4 linked regions of the Notamacropus eugenii genome follow. The protein of the gene in region 4 interacts with the protein of the main gene of each other region in a pairwise test. Links are inferred from orthologs where the notes say so. Each region holds a gene or a part of one and is shown on either strand. Other genes may lie near its edges.

Region 1 (7,573 bases), on a different chromosome or scaffold from region 4:
ACAACATGATGGAAGAATGCAGTCTAAAGGGGGAGGGGGAAGAGCAAGATAATATACTGCTAAAGGCAAACTGAACAACCAGGGTAAAATAAAGAGATCTATAAAAACCATTTGGGTAAATTTCAACTTCAGAATTCTTTTCTTTCCTTCCCCATGCCTTAAAGAATTAATGTAGCATATCATTTGCCACAATGCTAAATTTTATTTTTTTAAAAGCAAGCCCTATTTCACCTTTTATTCAGCTCTTTTATTTATTTTTTTTAATAAAGATGTGACTGATTACTTTCAAACTACACATAATAAGGTTCCTTAAGGAAAGGTGAGCCTCCCTTTCCTATATTCTAGAGTGTTTCATTCTCTATGATTAGTTAACACATCCTGAACAAGAAAAAACAAAGATTTAAGCAAAAAATGTTATGGTATTTATCTCTATACACTATCATAACCCAATCCATTGAAATGAGCCCAGATGAAGTCTGAGCTTCTTCTCCCAAATATCATTTCCTGTTTAAAAACAAAACAAAACAAAAAACTGGTCCAAAGGGAATACACTAAAAACATGGAAGAGAAATGACTATTTGAGGGAACAGCTGCTGTACTGTATAAGCGTGATCAAATCATCAGCTGTAGGAGTTTTTTGAGTTTTTTTTTTTTGCCTTCTCTTACTCTGAATTTACCATCAAGGCACTGCATTCCAAGCTACTGTACAGGGCTAACTGCTGCAGATGTACCCTTGCAGTTGAGTGCATACCTAGCACAATCCTTGCATAGCTCAGAAAGGATTGATTACAGTCAGTCCAGCAGGCAGGCTTACTGGACGCCTATTGCCCTTGACACAAGTTCAGCAATGGGAGGATTGTGCTGGACCTCTCCCAGTTATCCAACTCCCAGTATCTGCAATAAGCCCCTCCCTTTCACAAGGCTCATTCCAAAGAACCAGAATGTAATAAAGCCATTTTGAGCAAATAATATCCATTACTTAAAATGGCTTGTCAGTCTGAAAGGAAGATGTTACAACTTGACGAATAAATTAAATTTTCCTATTAGGTCAATTAAAAAATGTCCAATAGAAACTACATCTGTCCATACCACCCTTCAATTCTTTTCCTGACTTTGGCAAGGTCCCTAGATAACATCTAACACAGTTTAAGCGTCCCTCTGCTAATTATTGATCCACTTACCAAAAAAAGAATTAATTTCCTGCAGTAAGAAGTTGACTGCAGTATGATCTTTTCTCTGATTGGCCTCAATTTGACCTTGCAAAATGCACAACTTTAGTTAAAAATTAAAAAAAAAAACTTATGACAAGACAACCAATTACTTCTTCAATGATTTTTACATACCTCAGCGACAAGTACAGTGCTGTTCTTATAATATGCATCACTTTCTTTCTGTAAAAAAATCACCTCCCATCCCTTTGTGCTTTTCTGTCCTCTCTTTTCCCCACCCACAATATGGTGATGTATTTAAACCTGCATTCCCTGCTTACGGCAATTTTTTCAATAGATCACTAAAATACTGGTAAACTGTCACTCGAATTCTCTTCTATTCTCCCTCAAAAGGCCTGAATTTGGGCTTTTTCAATATGACGATAGTAGAACAAAGAGCGTTAAGTATTTCAGGATTCATTATGTAAACGCTTATTTTTCAAGTTGATTCACCTCATCCCAGCTTTCAAAGTCTGCCCAGTTACTTACAAATTTAGCTTTTAAACCTAAGAACAGATTTTAAAGAGGCAATTTACACTCTTGAGTTACAGACCTTTAAAGAAAACATCTTTAGAAAAAATTCACCATAGGGATTATTTTCAAACAACGGCTCCACCATTCAATGAGAAATTGATACAAAAAGGCAAATAAGTATCTTATGAATCCCAAGCACAACGGAAAAAAAACCTTTCTAACCTATTAAGGTTTTATTTGAACGGTTTTACAATTATAAATGTTTGCATGATACCAACTCGATTGACAAACCACAGCTGAGCTGGAAAAAAAAAAGGCATGTTTAGTGGAATTATAAAAAATGGTTCCTAAGGTCTGTTAAGGGCTAGAAAGATGCAAACTGGGAAGGGGGGCAGAGATGTCAAGGGTTCTTGAGGGATTTGTCTCGATCTCCCCTCCATCCAAGGACCCGCACGCCAACCCTGACCTCTCACCCGCTGGGGACTCGGTGAAGGGGGCTTCCCAACAGGAGCCTCTCACCCCCACGCCTCCTCGGAGGGGGTCTAAGCTGCCCCGACCCCCAGCCACGTTCATCCGGCAGCCTAGGCAGGGAGGGAGAAAGCAGAGCGGTGGGTGGGCTGGGGCGGGGGCCGGGCTGGCGGGGAGGGGGATGGGACCAGCTGGGCCGGCGATCCTCTCAATGACATTCCTGCCTCCGTCCGTCGGGGGAGGCTTGGCCGCGCGCTCCCCCGCGGGCCCCCGGCCCCCGAGCGAGGATGCGGGGGCGCGGGCGGGGCCGGGCGCGGGCCCCGCGCTCCGGAGAGGACCGGCTGGTTCTGGGCGGCCGCCCCCGCCCGAGCTCACCTGTCGGTTTCCTCCGGTCTCCGCCCCGCCCCTTCCAGGGAGCCCAGCGCCTCGAGCCCTCCCGGGGACCCTTTCTCTTCCCTTCCCAGCGTCCCCTCGGTCCCGTGCACCCCCCCAACGCTAGGGTGTGCCTCCCCACCTCCACCCTCACCTCCACCTCCGTCTCCCCACCCCCAGGGCTTCCCAGGTTCCCCAGGCCAGCCTCCGAGGCAGAAGAGGAAGCCGCCCTCGCCCGGCCCTGGGGGTTGAGGGGCACCCCAATGCCTCTCACCGGTTCTGGGGCCGGGGAGTGGGGTTCGCGGGGACAGAGGAGGGGATAAAAAGCTCGGCTCGGCTCTGTTCTGCTCCGTTCGTTTCCGCCGCGGCCAGTGAAGGCAGCGCGCGCTCCCCGGATCCTTTTATAAGCAGCCCAGGCGCGCTCCCGACGGCAGCGCGCAGGAGGGGGGAGGGAGGAATAGTTGGGAGCGGCGAAGAGGAGAAATCACGCAGCAAGGGGCGGGGAGGAGGGGTAAGGGGCGGGGCTTTCGGGCCTCGCCCCAGCTGTTTGGAGCGGAAAGGGCCGAGAGGTTCCGGAAGGAGCCGAAGGGGGGTGGGGATTGCGGAGCAAACTGCGTGGGAGTACAACGAGAAAGGAAGACGCCAGCGGGTGGGGGCCGAGAGCGAGCCCGGCTCGGCGCTCCTAGGGTGGGGCCGTTCTCCCCGCTGCCCCCGCCCCTTTGCACAGCCTCCATCCCACCCCACCCCTTGCAGAGATGCTGCGAAAGGGCAAAGAGCCGAGTTGGTGTAAGCGTAGAGAACGTCCAGTCCTAGGGTGGGCAGTCAGGACCCCTGGACGCACTGCCCCCGTCCCACCCTGATTCCTGTAGCTGGGAGCGTGCCTGCGCTCCTGCCCTTCCCCCGTGCCGAGGCGGGGGGTCCCGCAGGCATTCAGGCCAGTAAAAATAGCCCTTGCAGCCTCCGCTGCAGCACCCACCTCCTGGGAGAGACGGGGCCGAGACACGCGGGGCTAAACCGAGAGTGAGAACCGCAGCCTCCCGGGTCGGCGTGTCAGAAGCGCATTTAAAAACAGCAGATAGCCGGGGTCTGAACCTCGGAGACCCGAGGACAGATGGGAAGAGAGAACCTGCCACCTTGGCTAATAATGACAGTTCCCCTAGGAGGTTGAGGGCAGGGAGCACACGGCAGGTTGTTTCCTGAGAAACAGCAGCAGGGTACATTGGAAATAACGTTGGATTTGGAATCCTAAAACCTCTGTTCAAGCCTTCCATTTATTAACATGGCGATCCCCTCAGAATGTTCATCCGTAAAATGGGGACAATGCTTACATCACAGATGTGGTAAGAAATGAGATCAATACGTGTGAAAATCTTTTGTAAGCCAAAAGAGAGATATATAGGGGGGATATTTTAAAAGACATTATTTTTCGTAGACTCCAAGGCTTCCAGATCCCTCCCTTGGGGAGGAAGATTTGCAGTATGCTTCCCTCCCTCCCCCCCTCAGTTCTGCTAAAAACAGGAGCTGGAAGAAAACAGCCTTTAGGAGCAGTGGGAAAACCTAATTACCATGCTGTCAGAGAGAAGGAGATCTGCAGTGCTGAGGTGGATAGCCTCAAAGCCGCATCAGACTGCAGCCGTGTTCATTAAATAAACATTCAAGGCACTGGCTCTGCGCTCAACGTTGGTCCAGGCCCAGCTCGGAGGCTCCCCGTACTCGGATGGGCGGGTTCCTTCCTTTGACTTAGGAAGCTCTGCCCAGATTCCTAGCTTCCCAGTACCATACAGTTCGGGGAGGGAAATGTTTTTTCCAGGGGAAGCCATCATCCCAAAGGAAAAAGATGGCCACTCCCAAAAAGCTTTGCAGACTCAGAAAAATGGGGCAACAGGGCAAAATGTTTCCTGAAACCTTTTATATAGAGAAGACCAGAGCTGAAGGATTTCTCCCTAGGGGAATCATTTCAGTTAACAGCTGATCCTTTCAATATCCTTTTCCACTTCTGGCAGCAACAAAATATCTAATCAAATATTCAGCTCAGTGTATAAAATGGCTAACATCATCCGTGTCACAGGAAGCTATAGCTACCTAGAATGAGAATACCAATTTCCACCAGTAAGGAATGCATTTAATTTCAGTTATGGAGGGATAGTTATAAAAACCTTTTTATGCCTTTGTCTCCCACTGAAAAACACCCTGGCCTCATGAATGTTTTGCAGTGAGGTGGGGTTCCAACTACTAATGCCAAATACAAAGGAGCCTAGAAGCTTCGATACTGGACAGTCACTATAGTGATTACAGAAACCGCAATCTAATTCCTGTTAAGATATTAACTAAGGCTTTACCTGGAAAATGGTAAATCAGTATCAGTTGATGACCACCTCACAATTTAACACTAAGCATTTTAAAGGTTTTCCTAAAAGATCTATGTCAACATCTGCAGTTCCAATTTCCATTCATTTAACAAGAATTTATTTATTAGGAGGAATGTCTAAGCAGATTATCAAAGTATCTCCGTGGAAGAGCTCATTTAATGGAATACACTTTATACTGCTTTTATATCTTACAGGCTTTATCAAGTTCTGGCCAAGTACATTTTTTTTTTCAGATGAATACATACAAAATCAGGGGAAAGTACTAATTGCCTTTTTTCTTTTTTTTTTTTTAATGTATGCTCCACCCTCAAAAAGCACTTGCTTCTTAACCTGGAACTATTACAAGTTATTTGAAGGCAAGTGTAAGAGAATGCTGACTTATATTTCACTAACCAAAGTATCTCCTGAGAGAGAATATTGTGAAGCCTTGTGGGCTGGTAAAGTCACACTTGTTCACAAGTCAACATTTTGAGTTTGGTAGTATGGGTCCTCATTCTTTCCACCACTGAATTTCACTGCCTCCAAATGCCTTTTCATTGTGTAAAATTTCATCCAGGTTTTTCCAGATATCCTCCAGAGCATCTACCCAACACAGTGTGGGTTTTATGTGGTGTAGTTTCCTCAGTAGTCTATCAATTCACTGGTTGTTGGAAGAAAGTCTCATGTTTACCATACCAACAGATAAATTAATGTTTGTAGGCAGTCTTAAAAAAAAAGCCAATCAACAGACTCTTACCACCTGGCTTCTTTTCTCCCACTGTCACCACCAGGGCAGGAGTAGGCTATACATGGGACCAAGGGACATTTTGTAGTTTTATCTGTTTTATTGGTCACTGAGGCTGAAGAATTTACCACCTAGTGGCCAATCTGAAGGTGGTTCGAGAAAGGCCTTAGGGTTGCCTTTATTACCTCTGCTCAGGGCTCCTATTTTCAAAAATGCAGTATCAAAAACTCAGTGTAATCAGTTCATTGAGTAATCAGGCTCCAGTTAGTTAATTCACATTGATAAAAGTCACAAGAGGAGAAATAAACCAGAACATCAGTTTATTATATCACGATGAGAGACATATATAGAGGAACTGTGCTATCACCTGGGTGCTTCCTCTGTCAACATACTGGAACCTCTCTAAAGAAACGGTAAAATCTCTTTTAAAGAGTTGTGGTGGTAAAAACATTTTGTCATCTTGTAGCCAGCCTGGTGATGAGCTTCTCCAAACTTTGCTAAGCTAGTCCTTAGATAAGACATAAAATTTCCATCAGTAGGTCTTTCTAATTTAGTTTGAACTCGCAAGAGGAAAGATGCATTTGAGAACCCAGTCACTTCCATGCCATCATCAAGTAGGAGTTTAATGGAAAGGGAAATATTTTAAGTTAACAAAGTAGTCTGAAAAGTATGACTAGTTATATATACAGCGTGGCCCCTTGTTTCTAGTAGGTTCATTTAGGAAGCTAGAGCTCAAGATGGTGGTTAAAAGGACATGGAAAAGAGAAAAGAAAAATATCCAGATCTGATGTGGAATTTTTAAATATCTAGGATTTGTTCTCATTTCTATAAGGTCTGATCAGTGAACTCAGAATATACCTACCTTATAAAGTGATGTTAATCCACTACTGCTCAGATCCTCTCCACACATCACTCCTTGGGTTGCTTTTAGTTCCACCACCTTTCCTTTTGCCATCTATGGGTAACTTTATCTGGCCCAACTCCGGAAAATATTCTTCCCAGGGAAAGGCCCCCAGGGCTCATTTGAAATTGTCTGGAAGACAGCTGACTTTTTATAGATAAGGGATATCAAGGACTTCTGTCCTAATTCTAATTCATATTCATTATTTTCATTTTAAAGTTATATAGAGCACAAATTAAAAAGAAAAGGAAAATGGGCTCACATCTTGAAATAAGGTCAGACCTGGAGGAAAATTAGACATCAGGTAAGAACTTGAATAAAAACTGAATCAACTCACTACTACTTCAAAGAAATATGCTTATTCCATCAGCAATTGCATCTATCCAATAGATTTCTCTCTGTGTGATCTTCAGTATCAGTGAGCATCAAAAACCTATCTCCTCCTGCCCCTATCTCCATTTTCTTATTTGTAAAAAAGAGGAAGAGTAGTACTGTGAAAAGAGCACTAGATCTAGAGACAAAGAACTTGAGATCATATCTCACCTCTGATACTACCTGTGTAACCTTGGGCAAATCAAATCATTTAATCTCTCTGTACCTATTTCATCTATAAAATAAAGAGATTTAACTAGATGGCCTCTAGTTCTAGATCTACTTACATAAATTATATCCACTTGACATGTCTAAAGATTACTAAGTGACCTTGCAATTACCAAATAAAATACTATGTTAACAATCAACTACTTCTATCACCCCCCAGGTGGACAGAAGGGGCTCAGCTATTGACACCTAGCTAAACAGTTGATAAACTAAAAAAAAAGAGCAATTTTCCCAAGATCAGAGAATAAGAATCCTGACCATCTTAACTATAATTATATTATAGACTCCACACCATGATCCCCAAAGACACAGCCAAAGTCATAAAGAATTAACCATGCTGTTCTTACAAAGACCCAACCAAGAGCCAACTTGCTACAAGTTAGAAATAAAACTTTTATTATTTCTTTTTTAGAAGTGTAGTCAACCATTCACAGAATGAATCACTCCATGTCACACA
Region 2 (7,023 bases), on a different chromosome or scaffold from region 4:
TACTATCTAGCTGCCTCACAATCTGACTCTTTCCTGCCTTTTCAGTCTTGCTACACTTACTCCCCTTCTTTTTTAATTTTTATTGTTGAGTCCTGTCTGACTCTTTGTGACCTCATTTGGGGTTTCTTGGCAGAGATACTGAAGTGGTTTGCCATTTCCTTCTCCAGTTCATTTTACAGATGAGGAACTGAGGCAAACAGAGGTTAAGTGACTTGCCCAGGGTCACGCAGCTAGTAAGTGTCTGAGGCCAGATTTGAACTCAGGAAGATGAGTCTTTCTGATTCCAAGCCCAGTGCTCTCCATCCACTGAGCCCCCTAGCTGCCCTGTTCCCCTCTATGTACTCCAAAACCCAGCTACTGTAGCCAGCTTGCCGTTTTTCACAAACCTCCCTCTCTGGGGTGTGCTTATTTATACTTCCTGCCCAAGGCATGACATGACATTCCTCCTCAATTCTGCCTTGTAGTTTCCCTAGCTTCTTTAAAACTCCATTCTTTTTTTAGTGATAGAAGTGAAGGTGGGGGTGAGAGAGGTTGGACAGACAGAAAAGAGATTTTTGTTAATTAAAAAAAATCTTAAAAACAACATTTTGCAAGAGATCTTTCCTGTTCTCCCCACTGTTAAACCCATTTGTTTCTTTTAGGTTTAACCTTCTGTTTACCCCATACATATCTTGCAGTAACATGCATGTTGTCTTTCTCATTAGAAAGTGAGCCCCTTAAAGGCAGCAACCATTAATCAATAAACATATATTAAAGTGCCTACTATGTGCTAGGTACTGTACACCAAACCATGTTTTTGGATTTCTTTGTATCCCCAGTACCAAGCATATAGTAACTACATTTAGTTTGAGCCTGAGTTCTGAAGGGCTTTAAAAGCTAAATAGAAGAAAAATCAAATTTATATTTGATTTTAGAGTTAATAGTGACTAGGGGAGTGGCATGAGAAGATTTGTGCATAAGGAAAAATAATTTTGGCAGGAGTATGTAAAATAGACTGAAGTGGTGAGGGACTTGAAGCAGGATGACCAGCCGGGAAGTTGTGGCAGTAATCTAGTTCAGAGTTTATGAGGCTTGGACTAAGATGGTTACTGTGTAAGTAGAGAAAACAGGTCAGATGTGAGAGATATTCTTAAGATGAAAATGACAGAATTTGACATCTGATGGGATATTTTGGGTGAAAGAGAGGGACAAATCCAGGATAATGCCATGGTTAGGAACCTAGGAGATTAGTGGGGGGTGGGAGTGGGTGTTATACCTTCAACAGAAATAGGGAAGGTTGGAATGAGGGAGGATTTGAGAGAAAAGAGAAATAGTTCAGTTTTAAGATGTGTCATTTGAACTGTCTTAATGACATCTAATTTGAAATACTCCATGAGCAGTCAGTGCTTGGGAGCTGAAGCCCGAAGCAGAGACTTGGGCTGTATATATTGATCTGGGAATCATCAGTATAGAAGTGATCGATAGTGTTATGGGAATTAGTGAGGTCACCAAGAGGGAGAGTAGAGAAAGAAGAGTAGGGAGCCTTGTGGGATACCCACAATTAGACGGCTTGATCTATATCAGAAAAGACCCCATTGGAACAATCAGACATGCAGGAGGAGAACCATTTCTTTCTTATTATTTGGTGGTGGAGGGATGGACTTGTGGTTGGTGGAGAGAATTGTGAGCATGACTGCATAAAGGTCCAAATTGGTTCCAGAGATTTTGGGGAGGAATACTTGAACAGAGGACAACCTAGGAAGGTGGTGAAGAGAGAAACCTTAAAATGATGGACGTGCAAAGGAAACCACTCCAATCCTGTTCATGGACTTGCTTGAAATTTCAGAGGCAGATGAGAATGCGTCTCCTCTGGATGAGGTCATCTTTTCTTGTTTGAGCTGAGATCTTTTCTTGCTCCCACCTATTACACTCCTGTGTATTCTTTGGAATATTCTAGTTTGTATAACTTTCTATTTCTACTTGCAGTCTTGCTTGGATAAATGGGTTTACTTAATATTCACTGTTTGGGATGGTCTTTTGTGTAATCAGTGTTTGATAGAAAGAAGTTGGCCAGTGAGCATAAGCTAAAGGCAATCAGGGAGAGGGCTTTTGTTCTGAATCTTTTAGACTACCAATATTTGAGGGAGGCAAATGGATATAATTTTAGCCTAATACACTTTTTGGAGATCAGAAGTAAGAGTGCTCTCCTTTCAACAGTCAAGCCAAAGCGCAAATCATATCTATCCATACCACCTACAAACTGCATCCATGGATTTAGACAATCCATGTGGGTACTTACAATAAAATTAGAGAAAAGGTATAAATACCTTAATTCTTTGTCCACACAAAAATATTTCTTTTATTTCCTCAAGATTTTTGTCTGTTTTGAGATTAAAACTTATTAGATCATGCAGTGTCCATGCTCAAGGCAGAAAGAGGTAAAATTGACTTCAAGTCAAATGATAAAGCACTGAAAAAAATCCTAAAATTTTATATTTAGACAATCAGAACAAGGATTAATTCTTAACTGTACTATGGATACAAAAAGGATTACCAAAAGGTAAAAAACTGTCACATCTCTTTTGAGAAAAAATCATATCATCATGCATTTGATCCAAGGGATCTAGACATAGAAATCCAGCCTTGGACAGATACCCTCTTGAGGCTTAAGGATAACCTCTAGTTTTCCACCTCAACCATCTTTTCCTTACTTGTGGACAAAATGTTTCATTGTTGTTTTGCTTGGTCAGAATCCTTGGTTTTAAATGTCTCTTTTCCGTGCAGAAAATGGTTGTCCCATACCAATACTACTAGCCAGCATTTGTACAATGTATTTGAACTGATTTATAAAAACCTCCCAACTCTGGGCAGTAGGTGTTATTATTATCCCCATTAAATTTACAGATGAGAAAACTGAGGCTGGGAGAGGGTGAGTTGCAAGTGATAAGGAAGGATGTGAATTCAGGTCTTCCCAATTTTAGGTCTAGAACTCTTAAGCAGGGCTCCATCCAGCACTGAGTACCTTTCAGTTCCTTCTTTTGGGACTACACTCCACGGAGCTGAACATACATTTTCAGTCATTTCCACTCTCTAGGTCCTCCATAATCTTAGTTCCTTCTTTCTGATAGTACCCCTACTTTACCATATATGCATATATATGTGTATCTATAGGTACAAAAGCAGCTGTTTTCATGTTTTCTCCTCCACGACTGTGAGCTCCTTGAGGGCTGGGACTGTCTTTCGCTTGTCTTTGTATCTCAAGTGCTTAGCACAAAGTAGGTTGACTGACTTCAAGGAAGTCAAGAAGTTGGGGGTAAAGATCCAGAGTTTGAGGAACCCCCCCCAAAAGCTAAAAGAGCCCGATTTCCCCATTTCCCACTCCGTCTTGCCCCAAGGACTGAACCAAAATCTTATTCGTGCCTAGACTTTTAGGTGTCTCGTTTTGGGGCCAGAGGCTCTGCATCCCCGTCGTGGGTGATTAGTAAAAGTATATCCAGCTTTATCGTCCTGGGCAAGTCATTTCCCTCCTGGAGGCTTCAGCTGCCTCATCCATAAAGTGGGTTCCATCGGGTTTGCAAAGTGCTAACGTACACATGCCGGCCAGCGTCACTGAATCCCTCACCCCAGGAGGGGCGGAAACATCAGAGAACGCCCTCCGGGACACCGGGCTGGCCACCAGCGCCGGCCACCAGCGCCAGGCAGAGGTCCCAGCCCGCTCGCGTCGGGCTCCCAAGCCCAGGGCCAATGACGTCTTCCTGGGCCCAGGAGCGCATGCGCTCTTTCCTCTACCCTCCGGAAAGGGGGGTGGGGAGGAAGGGCCTGCGTCAAGTTGAATCACACCCTCACGCAGAGCAAATCCTTCCGCCTCCAGGACAAAAGAAAAAAGAATCCCGAGGCTTCCCGGCCCGACTCGCGCCAGTTCCCGCATCCTTGCCCCGGCCTCTAGACGCCGGCAGGCCGTAGGGGTGGTGGGGGCCGGGGGCCGGGGGCCGGGGGCCGGGGGCCGGAGCGGGAGGGCGGCGGCGTCTGAGGCCGGGACGCGGATCCCTGCGCGGGGGCGGGGCAGCGCTCCGAGGGCCGCGCTCTTCCTCCCCCTCCCTCGGTCCCCGGCGGGCGCTCGGACGCCGGCGCTTGGCTCTCGCCTCGGCTCGTCGTCCCTGTGCCCTCCCCCTCTCCTCCCCCGGCGCCCTATGGCGAGAGGGAGCCCCCTGCCCACCCCGGCAGGAGGAGCGGCACGGGCGGCCTTGGGCCGGGGGGCGCCATGGGCCTGAGGCGGTGACGGGCACGGACCGTTGGCCCCCGCGCGCCGGGCAGGATGAGGCGGTAGCGGAGCCCCGGATGCCCCCAGTCGCCAGCGTGAAGCCTACTGCTCTGCCGGGGAGGAGGAGGAGGAAGAGGAGGAGGAGGAGGAGGAGAAGGAGAGGAAGGTGAGCGCCCCCCCCCCCCGCCGCGGTGTAACGGACCCCCTCCCGCGGTCACGCCCCCCGGGCCGAGCAGCGCTGGGCCCGGGGGGGAGGGACCTAGACCCGCCCCCTCCCCCCGCGCCCTCCCTCGGTGGTGGTCTCCAGCTCCTGAAGTCCGGGACCCCCTCAAAGTCTGCTGGCTCAGGGCACCCCTCAAAGTCTGATAGTCCCGGGGGACACCCCCAAAGTCTGCTAGCCCCGGGGCACCCCCAAAGCCTGCTAGCTCGGGGCACCCCTCCCAAAGTCTGATAGTTCAGGGGGTCCCCAAAGTCTGATAACCCCGGGATACCCCCAAAGTATAGTGGCCTCGGGTCACCTCAAAGTCTGATAGCTCGGGGACCCCCCCCAAGTCATTAGCCCCGGGGCCCCCGCTGGCGGTCGAGGCAGAATTGTTTGCGCCCGGGCTCGAGGGGGATCTCCCCTAGGGCAGGGGCTGCACCCCCCCAGGCTCCGGGTCCGGGGCTTCCCTGAGTGGGCCGTGCCCTCTGTGCCCCTGGTCCTCCAGCGGCGTCCCCCTCGGACGCAGCCGGGGTGGGGGGTCTCCTGCCTTTGTTTCCATCCCAGGGCTTGGCACCAAGCAGCGCCCGCCTGCCTCCGACCCCCCTTGGTCTTTAGACTCTGGGCCCCCCGCACTTGGCGCGTTAGACGCCTCCTGCGTGCTTCTTGACTCGAGTGGGAGCCCGTGATCGCCCCGAGAGGGGCCCCGACTTCTCCCGTCCGGGCCTCTGCTCTTTGCCCCTCGCAGGGCGCGCACGGCTGTCCGGCCCTCCTTTGTGTCCGCGCAGCCCAGCCCGGGCCGGGCTCCAACTTCTCCCGGGTCTGCCCTAGCGTGCGCGCGTGACGATCGCGGGCCGGAGCGGCCGAGCGTGCCGGGCCTTTGTTCCCTGCCTCGGAGGAGGCCGCCCTTTGGTGCCGTCTGGTACCGGGCGCTGCACGCCGCCGGCGGCTGCGGGCCTCCTTTTGTGCGGGCAGGGACTATTTTTTAGGGGGAGAAGGAGGAGGACGAGGAGGAGGAGGAAGGGCTTGCCTTTGTATGCTGGGCGCAGGCTTTGCGATGGACGCTTGTGGCCCGACTTGAGGACGCGTCTCCCTGTCTCACTAGGTCCAGACCGGGCCGGCGGTCCATTTTGGGCGACGGTGCTACACCGCTGGTGCCGGTTCTTTGTGCGCGTATGCCCCATGAAGGAATGCTCACTGTGTGCCCGGAGCTTTGGCACCTCCTTTTTTGGGGGGGAGAGGAGACAAAGCCTTGCAGGTTGAACTTTGGTTTGACCACTAACACAGTCTGGGCCTGTGATTTTTTTTGGTGAAGAAACTCCCTCAACCCATGCAGGTTGGCACCTTCTCCGCAATTTATAGTCTCTGGGGATTCTCAACCCGGTGTCTGTGAGCTTTTAAAAAAAAATTTTAATAACGATTTTAGTATAATTGGTTTCCTTCGAAATCCTACATATTTGATATTATGCATTTAAAAACATTCTGGAGAGGTCGTAGGCTTTACCAGACTGCCAAAGAGTCCATGACCAGAAGGATAAAGAAACCGGCTCCTAAGATGATTGTCTAGAACATGGCAAAGTTGAGTGACACGGTCACAGAGATGGGACTTAAGCTCGTTTTCCTGACTTCTAGACCGACTCTCTATTCACAATGTCAGGCTGCCTTTCTTATGACAACTGAAGATTTCATAAACACTAAACCTTTGGAAAATTAAGAAGGAAAGAAGCAAAATGTCCAGTATTTATTAAGTGCCTTCTGTGTGCCACATGACAAGGAAGGCACACAAAAGCCCAAACCAGTTTCTATTGTGAAAGCAGACCCTGGTTTCTCATAGGAGAAATCTTAAAAATGATATCTTAGGACTTTTAGTCAGTGGGTGAACAAACATTTACTTGAGAGACAGCATGGTGTAGTGGCATAGTGAGCTGGCTTGGAAGCCAGGAAGGCCGGGGTGTAAGTCTGGCTCTTTAAACATAACTGACTGTGATTCTTTAGTGGTCACAACCTCCTAGTGCTCTAGACAACTCTTTAAAGCTATAAGCTGTAGAGAAAGCACTGGTCTCCTTCACCTGCGGAGTTCCCCAAACCAGTGAAACCACAATGCAGTCCTTATGCCTCTTCCTGTTACTGATAAGACTACCCTAGGTGTGCCTGAGATAGAAAATTGATGACCGCTTGCTCTCCTGAAGATTTTTGTTGTGCTGAGGAAATGTTTACAGGTACAAAAATATGAGAAGGATATTATACATATGCAAAACATTCAGTGATGTTTGAGAGGGGTACTAATTACTTAAGAAAGGCCTCTTTAGAGGCTCATAGAGAGAGAGGACTCTGGGGCAAAGAGAGCCTTGGAAAAGGCATTGGTGGTGATGTGGGAAACTCCAAGTAGTACCTCTGTTTAGAGCAGAGAATTTCCAGGGTAGAAACAAATTCTAGTGGCCAAAAGGCCTTGGAGGGGTGGTGTGGGAAGGGGAGGGGCAGCTGTGTCTTCCTGTTGGCCATGTATATGAGTAGCCAGAGGGCTTTAAAAAAAAAAAAATCTTCTGGCAAATCCTTACTCCTTCCTACCCCCTTTTAGGGCCCT
Region 3 (7,422 bases), on a different chromosome or scaffold from region 4:
ATTCTGTTGGGGCGAATATGTACAGGAAAGTCAATAATACAGAGTAATTTGGGGTGGGAGGAAATTATGGACAGGCCTCATGCAGGAGGTGAGACAAGCTGAGATTTGAAGGATATTAGGGATTCCAGTTGACAGGGGAGGGGGAAGATGTGAAAAGAAGATTAAGAATAAATACTATCTGTTTGACCCTGGGCAAGTCACTTAACTTTTCTCAGTCTCAGTTTCCTCATCTGTGAAACAGATATATTAACAGTATGTAGCTCACAGGATTATTATGAGAACCCAATGAAATAACATATGTAAAACACGACAAAAATGTTTGTTTTTGTTGTCATTTTTCAGTCATGTCTGACTCTTCATGACCCCATTTGGGGTTTTCTTGGCAGATACACTACAGTGACCTGCCATTTCCTTTGGCAGCTCATTTTACAGATGAGGAAACTGAGGCAAAGAGGGTGAAGTGACTTGCCCAGGGTCATCAAGCTAGTAAGTGTCTGAGGCTGGATTTGAACTCAGGAAGAGGAGTCTTCCTGACTCCAGGTCCAGTGCTCTAACCACTGTGTCATCTAGCTGCTCTTGTATAAATGCTAGCTATTATCGTTAGCATAATTACTATTAATGCTAAACAGGGATAATGGACAGGAGAGAGTACCACATAAGTACCACTTAAGAGGTCTCACTAAACACAGGTCTAACCATGGTCTATCCCTGCCCAAGAAACTCCAGTGACTCCCTATTTCCTCTAGGACCAAATTCAAACTCCTCCATTTGGCATCTAAAGACCTTCACAGTCTGGCTTGGGCCTCGACTGGAAAGGAAAGAGAGCGAAGGCAGGCAGACTAGTGAGGAGGCCACTGCGCTAGCGTGGTAATGGGAGCCTTAACTAGGATGGTGGCTGTGTGGGCAGAGAAGTCAGAAAGTGACAGCACCACACGCTAATCCAAAGCACTTCCCCCACCACAAGCCCAGAGCTACAAGTTTAATTGCCTTCATTTTACAGATGAGAAGAAAGAAAAAGAGAAACCAGAGCAGCACCAGGAGAAAAAAATGTTTCCTCACTTCCAAAAGGAAGGGCTTGAACCCCTTTCCAGCATTAAATCTCCGTGTCTATGACCCTAAGGTCTCCAGAGCAGGGAACACAGACAAGAGTCACCCAAGAAGGAAAGGAAGGATTTAAATCCACGCCAGAACCATACTCAGGATCTCACAGACCCTTAAAAGTATCCAAAAAGAGATGAAGAAAACTAGCTTAGCATACTTAAGTGACTTAGTATATTTAAGTGACAAGGTGACTGACAGCTAGCAATGGACCTAGGGCTGAAACTCAGGGCCTTTGCCTCCAAGGCCCAGAGCCCACTCTACTCCCCTGCATCACCTTCTCCACCCTCATAAGGCATCTCTAGAACCCTAAGTATTAAAATACTGCACTTGTATGCCTTCCATCTAGAGGGTAAATTCCCTGAGATTGAGGCTCACCTTTAGATCCCTCCCCGCCCACCCCTAAACGGTCTGTAGATCACCTTGATAACTAATAAGTAAGTAAATTTACCTTCCCAAATTAGGCAAAAAGAATGATGGGGCAAGGACTCTGACCCAGTCATTGAGTGCCTTCCCACCTAAGATGAGGAATGTCCAAAGTAAAATAACAGTTCCATGGGAAAAGGGATATTCCACCCCCACCCAGTCCACCCTCTAGGAACATTTCTTTTGTCTACCCAGCTCTCCTCCAGCATCCCTAGAAACAAGTGAGATAGCCAGGAGGGGAAAGTTCGGTATCCAGGAGGTGAATGGCTAAACATTCTGTTTTTCCAAGACCCATCTATCCATTATATATAAAGGAGGGAACCGAGGCTTCAGGGCTGTACCTCTGCCTTCTATTGAGCGTCTGACCTAAAGCGCCCACCTCTCTTGACTTTGGTGGGGGCCTGAGGCTAGGAAAGAGAGACAGAAGCAGGAGGTGTGGCTGGCCGGGAGACAGGTGAGAACCGCGAGGAAGTTGGTGGAACTGTGAAAACACCCAGCTGCTAAGATGAGGACAGAAGGGGGCGGGAGGGGGAGAAACTAGGAAAGGCTTCCAGGGCCCAGGACACCGGGGAGGGAGCCGGGAGGGGCTGACAAAAGATGGACCCGATCCCAAACCTCTGCCCCACTATCAGGACTGGCTCGGGAAGTTGCCTGGCTATCTTAGAGCCTTCAAGAAAAGGTCCTTCTCCCCATGGCAGGGTGGCATCTGAGCTTTTAAAACAAACTGTCAGTGAAGGGGAACATCCTGGCCAGTAGGGCCGGTTCGGAGGTGCCCTCGACTCCAAATGGGGAGAGGCCAGGGCTCAGGACAGAGGGCTCCTGCTTCGCCGTGCCTGTGCCCCTGGGTTCTGGGTGCTGGGTCCCAGCCCCGCTGTTCAGGAAGTGATACCAGCGGGAGGTAGGCAGGCGGGCTGTCCCCTGGCCAGACTCCCGGGCTGCCCAGGACCCGGGACCCCTGCTGGCCAAGCCTGGGTACGCACTGGAGGGAGGGGCTGAGGCCGAGGCGGGGAGGGATGGACCTTGAACGACCAGAGTCGGCGGGGCCACCGGGGGCCTGGCGAACTTAGGGCGGCGGGCACCTCTACCCACCCTGCCTCCCCACCCCCGGCGTCGCGGAGCGCCGCAGCTCCAGCCGGCTGCCCCCTCGGCCGTGACCGTGACCGAGCACGGGGTGGGGGCCCCCACGTGGAGGCGCCCCACCTCGGCCCTCTCGGGCCTCACCCCTTTGTCTGCGCCGGCTCGGGCTCCGAGCATCCCTCCGGGAAGGACAGGGACCACCCCGAGCTGGCTGCCCCCCGCCCCGGCCCCTCCCCGTGCGCTGGGAGCCCTCCCGTCCTCACCCGGCGCTGGGTCCCACGCGCGGCTGGCGGGGCTGTCCGGGGTCCTGCGCCCCGGGGCTGGGGCTGCCGCTGCGGCGGCGGCCGGGCTTCTGGCTGGCGGGGCTGGGGTGGCCGGGCCGGCGCGGGCGGCGGCGCCGATTGGCTGCAACCCGGCCTCTCCGCGCCAGGGAGGGAGGAGGACGAGGAGGAGGAGGTGGAGGAGGAGGAGGAACGAGCCGCCGGGTCCGGGGATTGGCCGCCCGGCGCCCAGCTCAGTGGCCCAGATGTGCGCCGCTGTACGCCGGCTCCCCATTGGCTTCTCGGGGCCCGCGGCCACAGGACGGGGAGGGCCCGGGAGGATGTGAGGGATGGATGGCGGGGACGGACGGTGCCACCCTCCCTCTCCCGCCTGGGCGCCTCTCTCCAGCGATCTGCCACCTGCCCGCTGGCTCGAGGGCATTAGTCTCATTGGGCAAATCCGGGGAAGCCGCTCGCGCCAAGTTCACCCAGCGGACAGAGCCGAGAACCCAGATCCCCAGCCCCCACCACCACCCCGCCCGTAATACCTCTGCTTTTCCTGTCCCGCGGGCCACCTCCCACTTAGAAAGAAGAAAACAGATGCCACACACACACACACACACACACACACACACACACAGATCCCCACCAAATGGGACGCTTGCAAACTGCTTCAGGGAAATGTGGGAGCCACTGCTAGGAAGCAGTGGGGAGGGGGAAATCCGGGGAAACCGAGGCAAAGAGCTCCAGCCTCCGGGATGCTGTTCCTCACTTCTGCCTAGCAGCCAGAACTTAACTGGGCAGGAGTGCCCGGGAGTGGCTAGTAAGTAGGCGAAGTTAGACGCCCATTGGAGGAGAAAGGGAGTTATCCCATACCAAGCATCCCCATCCTTGGGAGCCAGCCCCGAGGCTGGGAAAGCTCCGGGAAGCCCCCCTTTCTCATCCCTAGGTACAAGCCGGCCGAGAAAGACCAGCTCAGGTCACGTGGGGAAGGACTCTGAAAGCTAAACAGAAAGCTTTCTATTTCAGCCTAGAAACAGGAAGTCACCGGTGTTAAGTGGACGAGTCGGGTGGTCAGTCCAAAGGCAGATTACTTTGGCAGCGGCGTGGAAGGAACTGGAGTGGGGAGATGCCTTTTCGGAGGCTGCTGCGGTAGTCTAGGTGTTGAGGCCGTGAACTAAGGTGGTAGCTCCGTGGGTAGAGAGACGCAGTGGGAGGTAAAAGAAAAGGCAAGACCTGGCCTCTGATTGCGTGTGTCAGCACGAAGGTGAATGAGAAGTGGAGCATAATACCTAGGTAAGGAACCTGGCTCGTTGGGAGACTGAGGGTGGCTTCCACAGAAGTAGCAAAGTTTGGTAGAAAGCCTTGGTAGTCACCCCTCAGCCTTCCCACTAGGAATTGTCGTAGCTTAGTCGTGTCTGACTGTCCATGACCCCATTTGAAGTTTTCTTGGCAAAGAGACTAAAGTCACTTGCCTTTGCCTTTTCCCGCTCATTAGACAGATGAGGAAACTGAGGCGAACAGGGTGAAGTGACTTGCCGAGGGTCACACAGCTGGTTCAGTGTCTGATTTGAACTCAGTGTCTGCATTTGAACTCAGGTCTTCCCGACTCCAGGCCTGGTGCCCTACTACCCACTGTACCCACCTACATGTCCCCCCACTGGGGTACAAATACGAAAAAAGAAAGACAATCCCTGCTTTCTCAAGGCGCTTCCTATCTAATGGGGTAAGGCAACAACCTTTTGCCCCACTTATTGGAGGGTAGAGCCATGAACTCCAAAATCTCCAATTAATAAAGAACTCAGCACAAGCACCTCATTTCCCACCTGGTTGCTCTCCTTTAGGACTTCTTTGACCCTCCCTCCAACCTTACTTACCTCTTCTCACTTTTCAGTTTCCTTTAGGATATGATCTTCTCCCATGAGACTGTAAACTCCTTGAAGGCAGAGACTTTTGGGGGGGGGGCTATTTGTAGCCCCAGCCCTTAGCACAATGACTGCCACATTGTAGTTAATTGTAGTTAAACATTAATAAATGTTTATTGACTATTGTTGGCTATTGAGGGGACAGTTTGAGGGAAAAGATGAGTTCTGTGCCTGTCTCACACACACACATGCATACACACACTCAATAAACTCCAGTGGCTAAAAAGTATCAAGGAAAACTGCCCTGATATTCTAAAACTAGAGGGTAAAATAGAAATGGAAAGAATGCACCAGGCACCTCCTGAAAGAGATCCCAAAATGAAAACTCCCGGGAATATTATAGCCAAATTCCAGATCTCCCAGATCAAGGAGAAAAATACTTCAAAGAGTCGAATACCGTGGAGCCACAGTCAGGATAACAACATTTAGCAGCTTCCATATTAAAGGAGTGGATGGCTTGGAATATGATATTCCAGAAGGCAAAGGAGATAGGATTACAACCACAGTAAAACTGAATATAATCCTTGGGGGGGGGGGGGGAATGGATATTTAATGAAATAGAGGACTTTCAAGCATTCCTGATGAAAAGACCAGAGCTGAGTAGAAAATTTGACATTCAAAGAGAAAATGAGAATAAATAAGTAAACATGAAAGAGAAATCATAAGGGACTCAATAAAGTTTAACTCTTTACATTCCTATACAGGAAGATAATATATGTACTTTATCATTATTAGGGTAATTAAAAGGAGTTTACATAGACAGTATAGAAGTGAGTCGATTATGAGCTCCAAAAAAAATGAAGGGATGAGAGAGATGCACTAGGAAAAGGAGGCAGAGAAAGGTAGAATGGGGAAAAATTTCTCACCTGAAAAGGTGCACCAGAAAGAGCTACTACAGTGGAAGAGAAAATGGCAGGCAATGCTTGAACCTCATTGTCATCAGAATTGGTTCAAAGATGGGAAGAGAATGAGATAAAGGGGGACAGGAGATGATAAAAGGGAGAGCAGACTAAGGGAGAAGCAAAATAGACTTCTGATGATAAAAAAGATAAAAAGACAGAAAAGAAGAAACAGAAGAAAATGGGATGGAGGAAATACACAAGTAGTCATCCTAATTGTGAATGTGAATGGGATGAGCGCAACCATAAAATGGAAGATAAAAAATAAAGTAGATAAAAATGGATAAGAAACCATAATCCAACAATATGTTGTTTGCAAGAGACATACTTGAAACAGAAAGACAGAGTTAAAATAATGGGCTAAAGCAGAATCTAATATGCTTCAGCTGAACTAAAAAAAAAAAAAAAGTCAGGGGTTGTAATCCTGACCTCAGACAAAGCAAAAGCAAAAGCATATCTAGTTACAAGGGATAATCAGGGAAACTATGTTTTGCTAAAAGGTACTCTTGACAATGAAGTAATATTAAATTTTTTGCAGTAAGTTTCTCTGATAAAGACCTCATTTCTCAAATATATTATGAATATAGTACTGAGTAAAATTTATAAAAATAAGTATCATTCATGTATAATCTATATCAGGTTACCTACCATCTTGGAGGAGGAGGGAGAGAATTTGGAATTCAAAAAAATTTTTTAAATGTTAAAAATTATTTTTTCATCTAATTAGAGAAAAATGTTTTAAAAAAAAGTGCTGTTCCTGAATTGATAAATGGCCAAAGGATATAAACAGGGAGTTTTCAGAAGAAGAAATCAAAGCTATCTATAGTCATACAAAAAAATGCTCTAAATCAGGGGTGGGAAACCTGCCTTAAGGCCACATGTGGCCTTCTAAATATTTAATTGTAGCTCTTTGACTGAATACAAATTTTACCAAACAAATCCTATTGATTTTTGATCCACTTTAAGGCTCCGAGTTCCCCACCCCTGCTCTAAATCATTACAGATTAGAGAAATGCAAATTAAAACCACTCTGAGGTACAAGTGTTTACTTACACCTATCAGAAATGACAACTGCTGGAGGGAAAGTGGGAAAAACTGGAACACTAATGAACTATTGGTGGACTAGTGAACTGATCCAACCATTCTGGAGAACAACTTGGAACTATGCCCAAAGGGCTATAAAACTGCATACTCTTCGATCCAGCAATATCACTACTAGGTCCGTATCCCAGAGAGATCAAAGAAGTAGGAAAAGGACCCACATGTATAAAAATATTTATAGCAGCTCTTTTTGTGGTGGCAAGGAATTGGAAATTGAGGGGATGCCCACCCATTGGGGAATGGCTGACGAAGATGTGGTGTATGATTGGAATGGAGAACTGTTGTGCTGTGGGAAATGATAAGGGGCAGGGGGAGGTTCAGAAAATACATAGCAAGACTTGTATAAATTGATGCAACTGGAAGTGAGAAGAATTGAGAGCTCATTGTGTACAGTAACAACAAGGTTGCAATAATGATCAATTGTGAAAGACTTGGCTACTCTGAGCAGTACAATGATCCAGGACAATTTGGAAGGATTCATGATGAAAAAATGCTATCCACCTCCAGAGAGAGAACTGATGAACTCTGAGGGTAAACTGAAATATAATTTTCTCACTTCCTTATTTTTCTTGCTTTTTTTAAAATAGAGTTTATATGGAAATATATTTTGAATGGTTTCACATGTATAATTGATAT
Region 4 (7,959 bases):
AAAGCAATTCTTTTGAATTCAGGCACAATACTGACCTGATGAGGTCACTATAATCCAAGTTAACAAAGCATAATGCCTTAATTTACTTATAATTTTCATACATGCAGATGTAACAATTTGGTATCAACTTAATACCTATGCCATTGTACCTTCTCAAACATTCAGACAAACCCAAATTCTGTAGAGCACTTAGCATCATCACTAATTTGGATAAATTTTGATTATTTGGTACTGTAATTTAACATTTAAAATGAGTGTGTGCAAGGTCTTATACAGATACAGGTATTTCTACTCTAACAGACCACTTTTAATAAAGAAAAAAAATACTTTCACTAAATTTTCCCATTGTCAATGGGGGAAAGGGAGAAGGAGGAAGGGGTTAAACTTCAAAGTTATTTCAGGCAACTGAAAATTACTGCAGGAGTTAATAAACTTTTTTGTGTCATAGATTCCTTTGGCAATCTGGTGAAAACTATAGACTCCAATGGTTCACCAGCTATGTCTCACCAGTGCCCACAGACAGGAAAGACTACAAGCCCTTGAAATCCACAGTAATTTCAAAGTAGTGGTGGGCATACATAACATTCCAAAGTATCTGCAATGACTATAACATGGCATAAAAATATTTGTGATTTCTACCAGTGATAAAGTCACAAGTACTATTAATGATGCTGTGGTTTATTACCTACATGTGTAATTGACAGAAAACCTAAATTTCAATTATAGGTTGCTTAGTAAAAATTTTTTTAAAAATTTCCCATTCAAGTTCCTGGACTCTCCCAAATCTAACCATGAAATCCTTCATGTTAAGGACCTCTATTCCTTATATAACTGAAAATGTTCACAACATCACTAGAACTAGGAAAAACATGGGATGAGGTGTCATCTTTTTAAAAAGCAATAAACAAAAGTTGCTATAAAAATGACTAGGTTTTTCTAAAGAAATTCTGGGAAATGGGCCATAGGGTTCAGGTTCCTCTGTAAAAGAGATGTGTGTTTGTCCTTTATTGCCGAAGAAGACCATGCCATCAGAGAAATGATGATGACTTTTACTTGACTTTGTTTTGAGTGAGGGAGGGCTGAGGTTAGTCTAGACAGAAGGTGGGAAACCTCTGGCCTCAAACCACTCCTGGTCTAGATAAATACCCATGGTAAAAGGATCTTGGAAAGGATCTGATCAACAATCTCATAATAAAGTATTTATAGAGAGGTCAAGTAGCTTGATGTACTATCCTCTTTAGGAAGAAATCCTCACTTTAACTGAGGTCTCCCAGGATTCTGAACAGAAAGGGTTAATAGACCCTTCAGGCACCACAACTGCAAAATGCTGTTTTTGTTCCTCCTTCCTTTTCAAAGAGGGCTAGTCAGCCTCACTCTCTCTTCCAGAACGATTGAAGTTCAGTGGAGAAACAAAAATCAGTAGATTGATGGAAGGCTGCAGTGGATGACCTTGGCTTCTTTGATGTCTGACCAACCACTAAGCACTCCACAGCCCTTGCATGGCTCTTGGAACAAAATGTTCTGATCTGCTTGGGGAAGTCTATCCATGCGTGAGGTAGACATCCCTCCCCGCAACTTAATGAAGGGCTCCAGGGCAGTGGGTTACTCTAAACTTGGCTTAGTGGGTTGTGACCACAGCACATGCTACAACTTCTTGGAGCCACAGGTGACAGTTGGATGACAGCCCTCACACCAGGAGTATTCATCCTCCCTAGACACCACATACATCCTTATTAATCAGAGGGGGTACCTTCCCTAAACTTCTCAAATCATGCTGGAAAGGACCTTAGAGGTTCTAGAGTCATGGGATCATTTCATAGAGAGAGAAAGAACTTCTGAGGCTAGCTGGTCTAATGCATCCCCATCCCTCACCCCCTTCATTTTACACATGAGGAAACTGAAGACCAATTAAATCAGATGACTTGTCAATTCAACAAACATTTATTAAGCACCTACTGTGTGCCAAGTCACTGGGCTAAGCAATGGGGATACAAGAAAAAGGCTAGGCAGGGCCAGTCTTCACGTATCTTACAACTAATAGGGGAGACAAGGCCAAGCAAAGGGATACAAAGTATCTAGGTATCCTCCGAGATGAATGCCTCCATTTTGCACGGGGAAGTGGCTTGCCCACAGCGACAGGTCCAAGTGGAAGCAAATTGATGACCCTGTAGAACGGCGGGCTAGGGAAATCTGAGGCTTGCCCAGCTGATGGGTTTTTTTAATACCTCCAGCGCCTGGCACGGTGCCCTCACTTAGTAAGTGCTTTAACGTCTGAACTGAACTGAACCCCGGACCTAGGTCCATTGGCCTCTCGGGGGCCAGCGGGGGAGGAGAGGGAGGGGGAGGAGGATAATCTCGGCCTAAGTCGCTCTAGCACAAGGCGCACTCGGACTGCTTTTGAATCGCCCGCCGGGGACACGTGGCCCCCATCACCGCCGCCTCCTCTAGAGGGGAGGTGGAGGAACCCACTTCAAGCATGGCCCGAGGCGGGCTAACGAACGAACCCCAGCCGCCAGCACTCGCCCTCGGACCCGAGGAAGGCGAGCGGGCACCTGACGGCGGGCTTGGCCGACGCGCCCTGCGGAGCCATGGGCCGCACTCAGCGCGCAGCCAGGCGAAAAGCACGCCGGGAAGAAGCGCGCAGTCGCTACCCCGCGCCTGCGGACTAAGGAGCAGCGCGTCGACGCCGTTCAGCGGCCTCAGCCCCGCGGCCACGCAGGCCGTGCACCCAGCCCCGCCAGGCGTCCGCAGCAGCGGCAGCGTCCGCCCCCGCCCCTTTCTCGTTCTCCCGCCGTTACCTTTCCCGGCCGCGCGCGCCGCCGCCGACGTTTCTGCACCGCCTCCTCGCTCGCCCACTCGTCCTCCCTCCGCCCCCTCCCCACTTTAAAAAAAAATTTTTCCCCCCTTAATGAATTGAACCAACCTCATCCTCCCCACTTTCCTAAGGTAATCGAGTTGACTCAGCCTAGTACTGTCATTCGCTGGGCCTAAACGGTGGGAGGGGAAGGGTTTTACGAATCACGTGACTCCGGCGAATTGGCTGGCGGAGGAGCAGATTGGCGCGGCGGTTGAAGGCGGAAGAGCGCTGGAGCGGAGGTTCCCCCAACACGCCTGCGCGATGATCGCCGGAGAAACGAGCGCGAGACTCGGAGCATGCGCATGCGCATCCCTTTCACATTCTTTCCAGGTCTGCTGGTTTGGTTACATTGTATGCTGCTGCTCTGCAGCTGTACCTCCCCTGTCCCCTTGTGCTCACCCCAGGAGAGTCTCGGCTCTTTTCTTCCACCCTTCTGTCCCCTAAGGAGGATACTGGAGGGCAGTGTCGTTCCCTCCCTCTCCTTTCTCTTCTGGCCTCGCTCGTCCCAAACTGCAGTAAGACGAACGTCTGTGTGTGTGTGTCTGTATGTCTGTGTCTGTGTGTCTGTGTGTCTGTGTGTGTCTCTCTCTTCTGTTACTTGATTTTGTATAGTACTTACAACTATTCATAGTCCCAGGGCTTTTATTAAGCAGTATGTGCCATGCCCTCTGCTAATCTAAAAGTTAGCAGAGTTTGTAAATTTCTGAAAGTTTGTAAAAATCTGCCAAAATCTGCCTATTGTGTGCTGCTTCCTCAGGGGTGATAAAACTGTTTTAAGTCACAGCCTCAGCTCTAAATGAGCTTCTGGTCTAATTGAGGTTTCAGGATAGGAATTCAATAGCCATATAAGATTACAATTCAAACATTTTTTCACTGCTTTCTGCTGGAAGTTCTCAGCCACACAGTCAGGAATACAAAGATGAAAATCAGTGATCCTTATCTATACTTAAGGAGCTTACACTGTATGTGACAATTAAAAAGAACAAATTAATCAGTGATGACTTATAACATGTATTCTGATAAGAGGAATAGTAGATGACAAAAGAGGGCAGCAAGCACTTTGAAGAAAATGAAAAGAATGTGGGATACAAGAATTTAGATAAATGCTAAGAAAAAGTTGAAACATCCATGGTTTCATTGATCTGGGTATAAATACTGAAAATGGATCCTTTTACTTTATTGAAGTAAAATTCTTTTTAAAAAAGAATCAAAAACTTGTCAGCCAGCTGTCATCCATTTATGTTTATTTTGAGCTCAGGCCACGTCCACAGACACAAAACAATTAAAGTACATTTGGACTAATTCAGAAAATTAACTAGTTGTGTGTGTGTGTGTTTAATTCACTCATCACCAAATTTCTGAACTGTAACTTGTAGGCCATAGGTCTAAGAAAATCAAAATCACAAAAGAATGGACAGTGAGGTACAGAGGGATGGAAGAATTCTGGATCTGATTGATGATGCTTGGAGAGAAGATAAGCTGCCCTATGAAGACGTTGCAATACCACTGGTAGGTAACATGCTATGAATAAGGGAATGGGTATACCATTGTAAGTAACAATTAATTAGCAAACCCAGCAAAAGCAGAAAGGAGGAAGGGCACATGACTCACAGTGGGAGCAGTTTATCTGGACCAGAGTTATCAAATATACTTCCCTAGTGGGCCTGAATTAAAATTTAATTAAGAAATGTTCTTAAATAAAAATACAGTAGAACAAAGATAATGTTAATGTGTGGTTTTCTAATCAATATACAGCCACAGGGATCCTTAAGAGTTTAATAGGTCTGTTTCTGTTTGAATTTCACACTGCTGATCTAGGCCTCCTAGTTTTGTGGCCCTCCACCTGAAGCAATGAAAAATAGAGAGGAGGGGATGGATGTAAAATTATTTCTTCCAATCCTTTCAAAGCAAATCAGCCAAGGCATAGAGAGGTTAAGTAATTTGCTTAAGAACATAAAACTAGTTAGTGACAGATCTCCTGAATGTCAGTCTAGTGCTTCTATCAATGTACTATATAGAGATAAGTCAAGAATAATTAAGAGTCAGAACCACTGAAATCAATGGAAAAAATTAAAAAGAGCTAAGAACATACCTTAGAACAACTAAATAATATTCTCTTCTTTCTTTTACTTTCATCTGTCATTCAGTTATTCTCTTTGTAAACCTCCATACTTTGATGCTAGACCTTTCCAAGATTTTCTGAGAGATTTCTATTCTCTTCTCTACACCTACCAAGTTTCTGAAAAAAAGACTTAAACTTCCACGTTTGTAGATGTCCCTGGACTTTTAAGTTTAGTCCTGTGTTTGTTTTTTACTGAGTTAAAATTTAACAAATTACCATAGCACTCTTTATAGGATGGTAAAGATGTTGGGGTAATTCATACTTCAGGTCCAAACTGAGTAATTTCTAAAATTGCTTCCAACTTTTTAAGAGACTGTAATTATATTATTTTTCACTTTAATGAAGGCTTATGATAGATCCTATGTATATCATAAGGACCTACTGAAAGAGAAGAAAATAATTGAAAAGAGGTGGAAGAATATTTTTTCTGTTAAGAGGTGGGGGGATGGTAAGGGGAAATAGTCACAGGTCATATGCAGGTAAAAACAACTTTAGCTATTTTTGAAGGAACTATGCAACGTTCATGTTACCTACTTTTAAAAATCAAGAACGGAAAATATAAAACTATTCAATAACTACAAATAACAAAGAGATATACCTTAAGTTAAGGATCAAAAAAGAAAAGGTAAAATGGACTGAGGACCTAAAAGAAAACATTCAAAAACCCCACTTTGAAATAACATTTTTGCTTAACCCTTGAAATAAAGCAAGGATATCCATTGTGTAGGATAAAGACCTGTATCTATCTCAGAAACTTTCACATATGTACCCAGAATTTGAGAATACTTTTCTTAGGCCAATTCAAGTCAACCCAAGAGCAGATTGGAGCCAGTGAATCAGATATTTTCTACCCATGATTTATTGATATATTTGCTTTACACTTCTTTTGTTGGTGTTAATTTTTTATTTGAGCTAAGTTTGTCTACCTTTATTAGTACATCCAGAATCCATCACATTATAGGTGTGAATTCTTCCACCCCTTTCACCAAAGTAAGTCACAGCTTTTCTATACTATAACTGTCTTTGTAAGTCACTGGGTCTGAAAAAATGTTCCTCATTTGATATCCAACTTTCATGTGATTAACACCTCTGAACTTTAATGGTCTCACTTAACAAAATACACAGTGTATTATCATCTCTGTACCCAGAGCCTTCCCTGCTTGGTTGTTGTGTTCATCCTTCATTTTCGAAGAAGACCATGATACCAGAGAAATGATGACATGACTTGCACTGGACTTTGTTTTGAGTGAGGGAGGGCTGTGCAAGGTCACCAGTCTCACTTCCCCTCCTGGGCCATCTGGATCCAGTGACCAGATATTCATCAGGATGACTAGAGAAGGCCCAGGATGCAGTGGGGAAACTCAGACTTTTCAGGTATTCACTTAGAAGAAGGTACTGCCCATTGAGTGAATAGGCCTCTTTAAGAAGTAGTCTGGGAATGACCCTTTAGAAGATAACATAACCTCTTACAACCCAGCATCAGAAGAGGGTTTTAATAGTGAATAGTTAGTAGTGTTTAAAATTTCTTCAAGTACATTTGACTTTCACATAAAATGAGTATTTTTCACTGGCATTAACTGGACCAAAAAATCTTTAACGCATAATTATCCTATAAAACTATAAAATTAACACTGACTTAGAAAATTGCTGATTCTTCTTTCCTTCTACAGCATTTTACCCTTGACAAATATATGCGATACCAAGAAAAAGAAAAGGACCTCTCTTAAAGCAGCAAAAGAAGTAAAATGATCAGTAATGACTCTCGTACTCCCAGGAGGCCTTGTCTTCACTTTCTTTTGCATACCTGATATGTCCTTGTAGATGTTGTTTCTTTTTATTATTGTTATTAATTCATTTGTTTTCAGTTTTTTACAGTCATTTCCATAAGTCTTAGATTTTTCTCTCCCTCTCTCCCCAAGATGGCATGCAATCTTATATGGGTTCTTCACATACATTCTTATTAATCACATTAGTCATGTTGCATTTAAGAGTTAAAATGAATGAGAGAAACCATGAAAAAAACCCAAACAAAAAAAATATAACATGGGAGAAAATATGCTGCTTCATTCTGTGTTCCAATTCCATAGTTTTTTCTCTGGATATGGTTGGCATTTTACCTCGAGTCCATTGGGAATATTTTAGGTCATTGCATTGCTGTGAAGGGCTAAGTCTGCCAGAAAAAGTCCTCGCACACTGTAGCAGTTACTGTGTGCAATGATCTGGTTCTGCTCCTTTCACTCAACATCAGTTCATATAAGTCCTTCCAGGCTTCTCTAAAGTCTTCCTGTTCATCATTTCTTAAAGCACAGTAGTATTCCATTATATTCACATATCACAGTTTGTTCAGCCTTTCCCCCATTGATGGGCATTCCCTCAATTTCCAGTTCTTAGCCACCACAAAGAGAGCTGCTATAAATATTTTTGTACATGTGGGACCCTTTCCCATTTCTATGATCTCTTTGGGATACAGTCCTAGAAGCAGTATTGCTGGGTCAAAGGGTATGCACACTTTTGTAGCCCTTTGAGCATGGTTCCAAATTGCTCTCCAGAATGGTTGGATTAGCTTGCAACCTCACCAAAAATGAATTAGTGTTCCATCTTCTCCAACATTTAGTAGATGTTTCTTGTAGGATACAAGCTGCTTAAGGGCAGGAAGTTTTTCACTTTTTCTTTGTGTCCTCAGGGCCCAGCATGTAGTAGACACTTAATAAATGCTTGTTGATTATTAGTTGAATTTCTGGCTTTCATTTTATGAAATATTTGCTCCTTTGGAACATGTCATTCTGAGTTTTTTTTTCCCATTTTCAGAATGAACTTCCTGAACCAGAACAAGACAATGGTGGCACAACAGAATCCGTCAAAGAACAAGAGATGAAGTGGACAGACTTAGCCTTACAGTATCTACATGAGAACATTCCCCCAGCAGGAAACTAATTAATTTCTTATCTTCCATGGACAGATTATTTTGTATCCAAAATGT

What was found.
Region 1: the proteins of CEP63 (region 4) and SPTAN1 interact in a two-hybrid assay, tested with the Homo sapiens proteins (2 studies listed by BioGRID and IntAct). The link is inferred for Notamacropus eugenii from reciprocal best matches to the Homo sapiens genes CEP63 and SPTAN1.
Region 2: the proteins of CEP63 (region 4) and CCNI interact in a two-hybrid assay, tested with the Homo sapiens proteins (2 studies listed by BioGRID and IntAct). The link is inferred for Notamacropus eugenii from reciprocal best matches to the Homo sapiens genes CEP63 and CCNI.
Region 3: the proteins of CEP63 (region 4) and CAMKK2 interact in a two-hybrid assay, tested with the Homo sapiens proteins (2 studies listed by BioGRID and IntAct). The link is inferred for Notamacropus eugenii from reciprocal best matches to the Homo sapiens genes CEP63 and CAMKK2.

The regions. Positions count from the first base shown.
Region 1 is NC_092872.1:479,856,253-479,863,825, reverse strand, and holds the start of SPTAN1 (spectrin alpha chain, non-erythrocytic 1), read right to left. Parts: upstream 3,007-7,573; 5' UTR 2,797-3,006; intron 2,231-2,796; exon of another isoform or gene 2,156-2,230; intron 1-2,155. UniProt on the Homo sapiens protein: Fodrin, which seems to be involved in secretion, interacts with calmodulin in a calcium-dependent manner and is thus candidate for the calcium-dependent movement of the cytoskeleton at the membrane.
Region 2 is NC_092878.1:149,075,103-149,082,125, forward strand, and holds the start of CCNI (cyclin-I), read left to right. Parts: upstream 1-4,020; 5' UTR 4,021-4,406; intron 4,407-7,023.
Region 3 is NC_092875.1:36,536,019-36,543,440, forward strand, and holds the start of CAMKK2 (calcium/calmodulin-dependent protein kinase kinase 2), read right to left. Parts: upstream 3,009-7,422; 5' UTR 2,865-3,008; intron 1-2,864. UniProt on the Homo sapiens protein: Calcium/calmodulin-dependent protein kinase belonging to a proposed calcium-triggered signaling cascade involved in a number of cellular processes. Isoform 1, isoform 2 and isoform 3 phosphorylate CAMK1 and CAMK4. Isoform 3 phosphorylates CAMK1D.
Region 4 is NC_092876.1:333,964,402-333,972,360, forward strand, and holds the start of CEP63 (centrosomal protein of 63 kDa), read right to left. Parts: upstream 3,009-7,959; 5' UTR 2,929-3,008; coding exon 2,924-2,928; exon of another isoform or gene 2,799-2,923; intron 1-2,798. Other genes in the region: ANAPC13 (anaphase-promoting complex subunit 13), read left to right, coding at 4,268-4,366, 7,788-7,913. UniProt on the Homo sapiens protein: Required for normal spindle assembly.